2 linked regions of the Mus musculus genome follow. The protein of the gene in region 1 interacts with the protein of each later gene in a pairwise test. Links are inferred from orthologs where the notes say so. Each region holds a gene or a part of one and is shown on either strand. Other genes may lie near its edges.

What was found.
Region 2: the proteins of Fkbp1b (region 1) and Ryr2 interact in binary tests that used the Homo sapiens proteins (3 or more experiments, as listed by UniProt). The link is inferred for Mus musculus from reciprocal best matches to the Homo sapiens genes FKBP1B and RYR2.

The regions. Positions count from the first base shown.
Region 1 is NC_000078.6:4,838,279-4,843,497, reverse strand, and holds the start of Fkbp1b (peptidyl-prolyl cis-trans isomerase FKBP1B), read left to right. Parts: upstream 1-1,924; 5' UTR 1,925-2,062; coding exon 2,063-2,099; intron 2,100-2,257; exon of another isoform or gene 2,258-2,412; intron 2,413-5,219. UniProt on the Homo sapiens protein: Has the potential to contribute to the immunosuppressive and toxic effects of FK506 and rapamycin. PPIases accelerate the folding of proteins. It catalyzes the cis-trans isomerization of proline imidic peptide bonds in oligopeptides.
Region 2 is NC_000079.6:11,732,228-11,736,892, reverse strand, and holds part of Ryr2 (ryanodine receptor 2), read left to right. Parts: intron 1-1,221; coding exon 1,222-1,422; intron 1,423-4,665. UniProt on the Homo sapiens protein: Cytosolic calcium-activated calcium channel that mediates the release of Ca(2+) from the sarcoplasmic reticulum into the cytosol and thereby plays a key role in triggering cardiac muscle contraction. Aberrant channel activation can lead to cardiac arrhythmia.

The DNA.
Region 1 (5,219 bases):
GGCCTGAAGTGCCACCCACTTCACACACACACACACAACGAAATACCTTAGTCTTCTGCCTCCCCGTCCCACACGTAAAATCCCGGGGCCGCTCACGTCACAGGACCGGGAATCAGAAGTCCCGGGCACCTAACGGAAGCCTCGGCCTTTGGACCTCGGAGATGCCTCTAGACTATTGGCTATTGAGTGCGTCACGTTAGCGGCGGGTCCTTCCGATGGCCATTAAGCGCGGGCTTTGCCGCAAGTGTTTCTGGGAGTTGTAGTTCCCGCGAAATCACCGCCCGAAAATCTTCACAATACACCTCAAGTGCTTCAACCTCTTTTCCCACGCAGGTCTCAACTGTTCTCTTAGAAGTGGTTGGCAAGAGCCGGGCGTGGTGGCACACGCCTTTAATCCCAGCACTTGGGAGGCAGAGGCAGGCAGATTTCTGAGTTCTAGGCCAGCCTGGTCTACAGAGTGAGTTCCAGGACAGCCAGGGCTATACAGAGAAAAAAAAAATTGGTTGGCAAGAGGGAATCGGAATTCTACAGTCAACATGTGTAAAAAGTTAGTGTTTAGTTTAGAGGGGAGTCAAGAACTCCACATTTAAAAATCCCATAAAATATCACTCCCAAAATGTAAATACATCCGTTTACCTGAAGCCAGCCTCGTAGGCCTGCCCAAGTAGCAGATCTGTTCTACCCCGATCTCAAAGTACCTGCCCAAGGCCATAACCAGTAGGGGGGTGAGGGTCAGGGTTGGAGGGTGGGGTGTCTTAAGCTTTTTTGTTTGTTTGTTTGCCTTAAGCCCTGACGACTCTAGGGCACACACACGGGTTTTTTTCTGATCCTAACGTGCACAGTACCGTAAACCAGCTTTTCTGAGCACCAACTTTAGTCCTTGTATCCTGGCAAGCTAGTATCTGCGAGCTAGCCACTTGGAAGAGTGGAGATGGAGAAACTGAGGAAAATGCGTCAAGTTCCAGTTCTGGGCCTTTGAATAAATAGGTCCTTCTCCCATACTCACCTCCCATTGGCTCTTGTCAGAAACAAATTCAGATCTGTGCAACGGGTGTAGAAAAGATGGGGGTGGGGGGCATTTCTTAAAGTCTCCTTCAGCCTTCAAGCAAATGTTTTCTCCTCCCAATGTATCTTCCTAGGGGCCATGGACGTAACCTCTGTTAGCTTAGCGTGAGTGAACAGGCCCTGGCTTCCCTGGATTCAAGTCCCAGGACCAAGGAAGCGGAATTCGGATTGGGGAAGGACAAAAGTATCTTTTTAGATCCTGGTTTGGTTTGGGTAGAGGTAAAAGAATTCATTCATTCCTTCTATAGCATTCACCATTCAGGCTGTCGCTGTATCTTCAGCACAGAGCTGATCCTCCTTTAATTCAGTTGGAATCCCCAGGGAGCAGTCCTTTACCTTGAAAGGTGAGACCTCCAATACATATACCTGCTGTAAAACTTTGAGGAATGATGAATGTGGTCTTAAGGTGGTTGAGGAAAATTCGTCAATAATTGGTTTCTTCCCTTCGCCGGCTCTGCTCCAATAGATTCGGGAAGCCTAACCCGGGTAGGTATCAGTCTCGGGTGCTTCCGTTTTACTCTGAACCCCACGGCACTGAGCACACGTATTTAAAGAGTTAGTTTAATTACCGACTTTCTCCTAGTCTGTAGGATTGAGTGGACTCCCTGGGGCTTTGCACCCTGTAGGTGCTAAATAAATATACACTGAGTGGATAGATGTGTGGATGTGCTAGTGCCGGCACGCCTCGCTCACCCTGCCTCCCCTTTCAGCCAGTGGGTTAATGGTGGTTAGTCTGGCCAGGATCCGGAGCAGCCACGTCAGGGTCGCTTCCCTCGGGCTCCGCCCCGGCCGACCCCACCTTGTCGCACAGCTCCACCCCGCCGCCCCCTTCCCGGCGGCCCCTCCCCGCGCAGGTCCTGACTCCAGCCGCACCTCCTCCGGCTCTGCAGTGGCGGCAAGAAGGCGAGCGGGAGTGCCTGCGGGGTCCGCGCCAGAGCGGAGCCGGGGTCGGGGCAGCCGCGAGGACCCCCTTGGAGGCGGGGCCTGTGGGACCGTGATGGGCGTGGAGATCGAGACCATCTCCCCAGGAGACGGTACCGGGCGGCTGGGCCCGGGAGGAGGAGGGGTCCCGGGGCGGAGTCCGCGGGCTGGGATCTGATTCCGAGGTGGCTCCGGGGACCTGAAGCGGGGAGAGGGTCAAAGATGCGGGCGACAGGAGGAGACCTCCTTCCCCGATTCTTGTGGGTTTCAGAGGACAACGCACCATCCCATTCTGCGCCCGCTCACCTTGGGGAGTGAAGGCGGCCACCTTAGGGCAAGGGGGTTATGTCCAGCCACTGTCCTAGGCTGCGGCTGCTATCTCCTGAGCTGCAACCTCTCGATTAACCGCTGCTACTGACTTCCCAGGTTTGAATTTCTGTTCCGTTTTTCCTGTTCGGTTCCAGGGATGATCTCGCTTTGGGGGTTCCTGCTGTACAGAGAAACCCCTCCTATTGCACCACACCTCCCCGCCCCTCTTGTCTGGAGGCCCCCAGGGCTGGGCAGTGGTTAGTTGTGGAGAGAGCCAATTTGGGAGCCTGCCACTCCTTTGGCTGCTTCTGCTTCCTATTTCACCCTCCCGGTCCTACTCACCCTTCCTGGTCATCTGCCCTCTACCATGCCCTCCTCAGTCAAAACCCAGCCTTCGGACCTGCTGCTTGATCCTCCTGGGGGGTCCATGGTGCCGGGTCAGCCAGGTCAAAACAACTCGCGTTCCATAATTTGGTTCATCGCCCCACCCCACCCCCTCCTCCCAGTCTATCTATCTCTGGGTTCCCTGTCTCACCAAGTTTCCTCAACTATTTAGAAAACTGGGTGTATTCAACATATTCAAGGAGTAGCTATTTCTTAAGCAAAATTTAATCCAGACCAAAAGCCACCCCCAAGGTCCAGAGTGTTTAACAAGCAAACTTGCTGTTGGATATTATTGGCATGCTCCTTCGCAGGGAGTTAAAGGGCTTCTTGGTTACAAACCGAGGGCTTCCTGGAAGTACCCGATACTGCCCAGATCACTCCTTGCAGATACACGTTTCTTCCCAGGCCTTGTCACCCACACAGCCTCTGAGCTGTCTCCCCATCTTCGTTCTCCCCGCCTTCCATTTGACTTCCGTTCTCAGTCCCCTCATTTTTCTCACAGGTCCCCTAAAATGCAGAGCTTTAAGGGCCCCTCCCTCAGGAAGAAAATCATTAAAAGACTCTTCCCCCTACTTCTGCAAGCAGCTGCCCTCTTGGTGATTGCTAGGGCGGGAGGGATCCACACTGGCACTTCCTCTTTCGATACTTACTATCCATGCATCCACAACCAACTTCACCAAGCCACTTGTGAGTTGTTAAACAAACCACTCATTTAGCAGATATTTATGGAACGTGTACACTGTGTGCTGGACCTAGGGTTACAGGATGGAACCAATGGGCTCTCACTGTGACTGGACTCTAGGACCCTAAGGATTTGTGTGTTTCCTGGTGGAACCCTTGTGCTTGCTAGGCACCTGCTGTACATGAGCTACATCCCAACTCTGGATTCCAGGTTTCGAGCATGTCTTACAACTAATTCTATTTCCCAGGTCCCTTTACTTCTCCAGACAGACGCCCACCCATCTTTTAACAGCCAATTTAACTGTTTTCTGTGGGGCTTTCTCTGGCTTCCTTTGGTAGGCTCCTACAGTCCACTAACCGCTGACTGTGTTGTTATGTTCCCAAGCTCCTAATCCAGTCTCATAGCTTTCTATTCCACCCAGTTTGTTTATCCAGGGTTGGCTCTGCATCTGCCTCTGTGCAGTAAAAACTTGCATGTCTAATGGGCAGCTCAAGATTGCCACCCTCACAAATCTGTTCCTTTCCAGTTTTCTCATCTCTCAGAACAGCTCTACCACCTTCCGGTTACCCAAACCCTAATCCTTTCCCACCATTCAATGGTGAGATGGGGAGTGGGCTCCTTCCTCTCATCCACTTGCATGCCCTTGTCAGCCCTGCTTCCAAAACGTATCTCTAATCTATTTCACTCTCTTCTCTGCTAATTCATGCAACCATTGATTTCTTGTCTAGACTATAGCAACAGATGTCTAACCATCCATCCCACACTCGGGAGCTAGAGTGATCTTATAAAATCTTAATTCAGATTAGGTCATTTCCATGCTTTTAAACCCATCAGTGGTTTCCAATTGCATTTAGTATGGGACCCATCTCTGCACGCTGCGTGGTGCATCACTGTCATGTTCCTCTCCTCCATCTCACCCTCTTCCTTCCTATTCTGAAAGTGCACCAATCTTTTCCTGCTTCATGGTCTTTTGAGTTGGTTCCTTCTTAAGCAGCAGCTCAAACCTCATCTTCTTCAAAATGCCTTCCTGGCTCACCCTTTCTGAAATTGCCAGCTCTCTGTGTCTCTCTGAAATTCATCAGTGTTCATTTTCTTTAAAGGATTTATCACCATCTGTAATGATCATATTTATGTGAGCATTGTCTCCTTCCATTAGAATGTAAACCAGAGAAATGGCTCAGTGGCTAAGAGCTCTAGCTATGCATGAAGACTTGAGCCTGAATCTCCTCACTCATCCAAAAAAGCTAGGTGTGACATACACACACACACACCCCACTCCATTGCACCCCACATGACCATCCCATGTACACAAAAGAAAGAAGGTAGACCCTAGAAGAGCAGGGCTCCTGTCTTTATTGTTCTCCGATGTATCTCTGATATGAGGGCACAGGCCTGGTCATTATTGATTTCTTGTTAATGATATTCATCTTTGATGTAATCATGACTCTATAGCAATCTGAGATTTAGGTTTGTGCTTCTCTTCTTCACGGGTTCATATATTACTCTCTGTCTCTGGTCATCTGACACACAGTAGGCTATTCATGATTCTGGTCTAGCACGTAGTAGGCTATTCCTGAACACTTGTAAAATAGATGAAAGTAAGGGAGTAATTTTAGACTAGGAAATTGAGACCAGTAGCATCAAGTTCAAATACAAACCAGAAAGGAGACATTATTAGTTTGGGTTTGTTGGTTGGTTGGCTTTTTGGTTTTGTTTTGTTTTGTTAGTTTTGTTTTGACAAGGTCTCTCTATAGCCTTGGTTGTCCTGGAACTCACTATGTAGACCAGGCTGGCCTCAAATACACAGAGATCCGCCTGCCTCTGCCTCCTCAGTGCTGGGATTAAAGGCCACCACCGC
Region 2 (4,665 bases), on another chromosome or scaffold:
GGTGAGTTCAGCCTAGCAGCCCAGAGTCTGTCTCTTCAGCAAGCAGTCAGCCTTGTCCACACTCGAGGGCATGGTGCCCTCATGGCACCCTGGACAAAAGACTTGGAGGAAGGAGAAGAGATTGCTAGTTGACATGATCATACCACTTTGACATGCAGGAATTTTTAAACTTTTCTTTTGGCCTACTCTGTATTTGTTACAACGGATGTTTAGTGTAGTTGGGATTTTTCTAAATTAAATTCATATTTTTTATGGGTAGCTTACTTTTTAAAATACTTAGTTTTGTTTACACACACACACACACACACACACATATATATATATATATATATATATATATGTAAATCTGTGGGGGGTATAGACATATGAGAACAGGTACTCATAGAAGCCATAATGGAGCATCAGATCCCCTAGAGCTGGAGTTAGGAAGTTGTTAGCCACCTGGCACGAGTGCTAAGCACTTGACTCAGGGCCTCTGGAATAGCCACAAGCTCTCTTAACGCCATCAAGCCATCCCCTCAGTCCCTGACTTTTTGTGGATTTTTTTTTCATGAGTTGCTTGGAGTTGCACCCAAGGCTTCATACTTCCTGGACAAGCATTCTACCACAGAGCTATATCTCTAGACCATTCACAGACACACTTATCAGCAAACATTTCTCAACAAATAGTTTACCAGTGAAAATTTGTTTGTTTTTTCTATAAGAAATCACTGAATTAGTCACTTAAGCAGTGGGCTTTCACCTCATGATCAGTTTGTATATGACCACCATATTCTAGCCCTGGATTAGGGATTCAATGTCTTTCGGCTCAGCAATATTCACACTGTGTTCTTTCTCATAAAGGTACATTGCCACACCCTTCCTCCAACAATTAAGTTATAACCCAATTGCATATATTTTGAAAGAAAGGTGTTCTATTTTCCAACTAATCATGAAAACCCTCCCAGAAGTTCCCTTTGTAAACTCTTCCTTATTTATTCATTGGTTGCTGTGCCTGTGGTACCATAGAGGACCTCTGAATGATTGCCTCTTCCGGGGGCATGTATCTGCTATGCTGGCCTGTGCATGGTAACTTCATTCAGTAAGATTAAACACATTTCTGCTTGTCAAGTGCTAGGATGCTGTGTTGTAGAGAAAATAGGAAACTAAGAACATTTTACACTGGTTATGACTTCATATAAATTAAATATTAATGCTATGACTTTTAAATTATCTCCTCAGATGTGCCTCTTGCTTCAGTACCTCTGTGACTGCCAGGTTAGGCACCGGATCGAAGCCATTGTAGCCTTTTCAGATGACTTTGTAGCTAAACTCCAAGACAACCAACGGTTCAGGTATAATGAAGTCATGCAAGCCTTAAACATGTCTGCCGCACTCACTGCCAGGAAAACCAGGGAGTTCCGGTCACCACCGCAGGAGCAGGTACCAGAGTAGAACTGAAGATCTTTCTCATTTAGAGTTTTGGAGCAGTCAGGATCTGTGCATGACAAAACTACTTGATAAGTTAGGAGTGGCTTTTTCTTTTCTGTTCTGTTGAAATTAGCTATGTTCATTTGGTCAATAGTCTCAGTTTCACCAAAAGAATTTACCTGCTTACAATAAACCATTGCTTATTATCGAATGAGATGTTGTTATACCTAATTTGATAAATGAGTAAATAATCAGTAAAAGGCATCAACTCAACTAGAGTTGATTCAAGGACGTGAAGATGTAACAATTTGAGGTTCCACAAATAGTAACAGAATTCAACCAGAGATAGGTCAACGTTTACTGGCCTGGATCACTTCAAATAATAGAAGCCCTCCACTCCAGGAGCAGACCCTAGGTTCTTTGACCTTGGCACCTTTGTAGAAGAAAGGGCCACTAACCCAAGGCCCTTTCTCTAAGTTTTCCATTGGCTAGTGTCAGAGAAAGCTAGCTAGAATTTGAGTAAGGTCCAGAATTCATTGCATCATACTGAAAATGTTTATATTTGACTTAAAAATCTCTCCTTTGACCTATACCCTGGTAAGGTCTAAGGGAACAAAGAAAATGCCAACCCTGAGGCTGCAGTTATTACCATGACAAAGCTGTGCTCACTAAACTTCTCTAGAAAAGAAAAAAAAAAAAAAAGGAAAAAAGAAAAAAACAGAAGGATCTTAGCAAAGGAGAAAGGGCCAAAGAAGAACCCAGGATATTTTAGATTAAAAAAAAAATACAATAGCTAGTGAGAGAAGTGGGCTGGAGACCAGGATGTGGACGGCAGAGGTGTCGTTTTTAACTTGGAAGAGAACAGTGCAGAAGAATCTTCAGAGGACAAGAGAGAACAGAGACAGTGAAGAGAGACAAGGATCTCCGCATGATATTGAGCTGCAAAGGAGGAGCAATAGGCAGACTGAAAAAAGGTCACTGAAGAAAATGTCTGGAAATATCAAATTCTCTAAAGCAGTGGCTCTCAGCCTTCCTAAAGCTGCAGCCCTTGAATACAGGTCCTCATGTTGTGGTGACCTCCAACCATACAATCAGGTCACTTCTACTTCATAACTAAGTTTGTTACTGTTATGAATTGTATTGTAGATAACTGATATGCAGGATATGTAGTATGTGACCCTGTGGAGGAGTCATTCAACCCCCAAAAGGGACTGTGACCCACAGGTTGAGAACTGCTCCTCTAAAGGCTATGCAACTAGAGATTCAAGAAGCCAGCCAAGCCCTCAACAGGAAAACACAAAGGATTTCACATCAATATATAGTATAGCAGAGTTTCTGAAAATTATAGCCAAGGGAAACCTTTTGAAAGAAATGAAGTCTTACATGAAGAGGGAAGACAAGTCTGAGTAGCAGTAGGTTGTTTTCAGAGACGATGGGATGGAAGGTGTGTCCCCACCACTGAAAGAAAACCTGGCAGCTCAGCGTTCTGCATGCTGTGCACAAGACCTTTCAAGAGGAAGTGAGCATTGAGAAAGTGAGCATTGAGACAGTGAGCATTGAGACAGTGAGCATTGAGAAAGTGAGCATTGAGGAGAAAGTGAGCATTGAGGAGAAAGTGAGCATTGAGAAAGTGAGCATTGAGGAAAAAGTAAGCATTGAGAAAGTGAGCATTGAGACAGTGAGCATTGAGACAGTGAGCATTGAGAAAGTGAGCATTGAGAAAGTGAGCATTGAGAAAGTGAGCATTGAGAAAGTGAGCATTGAGAAAGTGAGCATTGAGAAAGTGAGCATTGAGAAAGTGAGCATTGAGACAGTGAGCATTGAGACAGTGAGCATTGAGAAAGTGAGCATTGAGGAAGTGAGCATTGAGGAGAAAGTGAGCATTGAGAAAGTGAGCATTGAGACAGTGAGCATTGAGACAGTGAGCATTGAGAAAGTGAGCATTGAGGAAGTGAGCATTGAGGAGAAAGTAAGCATTGAGAAAGTGAGCATTGAGAAAGTGAACATTGAGACAGTGAGCATTGAGAAAGTGAGCATTGAGAAAGTGAACATTGAGACAGTGAGCATTGAGAAAGTGAGCATTGAGACAGTGAGCACTGAGAAAGTGAGCATTGAGGAAGTGAACATTGAGACAGTGAGCATTGAGAAAGTGAGCATTGAGAAAGTGAGCATTGAGGAGAAAGTGAGCATTGAGAAAGTGAGCATTGAGAAAGTGAGCATTGAGGAAGTGAGCATTGAGAAAGTGAGCATTGAGAAAGTGAGCATTGAGAAAGTGAGCATTGAGAGGCTGGAACAATGATGCGGAGCTTAGGATGCCTCCTCCCCTCCAGGAAGACTCAAGTATGGGTCAAAGCTTCCACATGTAGTGGCTCACAACCACCTGTAATTCTAGCTCCAGTGGATATAATCTTTTCTTACCTCTAAGGCATCTGCATAAACAACACCTCCCCTAAACACTTAAATACAATAAAATGTAAAGAAGTTAGCAAATCTTGGACATGCTATTTAAAAAAAAAGCTAAAGATGATTTTTTAACAGAAAGGAAAGAAAAATGACAGAAGAGAATAGAGAAAGAAAAACAAAAAACAAAACACAACAAAACACTGGGAAGTGTTAGGCTTGCATGCATAAATAAAAACACACTTTCTTACCTTTATTTTATTAGCTTTATCCAAATATTGTTTAGGGGTTAAGTAGATATTATACAACTATCTTTTGCTGCTCTGACTGGGTGTGTAGAGAATTTAAGATGACTGTATTGTAAATGGAGATTAGAGGGACATGGATAGAGATAAGACTTTAGAATTCTTCCCAGCTGGAGAAATGCTGGTACCAGCAGCTAAGTTATATATAAAGGCATATGCAATATCTCTTTATTATATCTCCTAAGAGCATATGAATCTATAATTATCTTAAATCTGTAATAAAAGGACATTATAAACCATAAACATTTTCCAAAGAAAAATATGGGAGGACATCAAAGCCCTCTTATCTTAGTTTGTGACTGTAATACTATTGGTTCTAAAACTTAAGCAGATGGAAGGAAGGCCCCGAGTTTGAATGAAACATGAATATCAGCATCAGCATAGCTATTGTGTGCTTCCTATTGTATTTAGATCTTTTCTTCTCTTTGAATTGGTATCCTTCCCAAAAACTTTCTTTAAAATATGCACAAAGTACCCTTGTTAGAAAAGTATGGGTGTATGGAGCATATTAAATGTGAAGAATATAATCAAATACTTCAAAAAGATTACA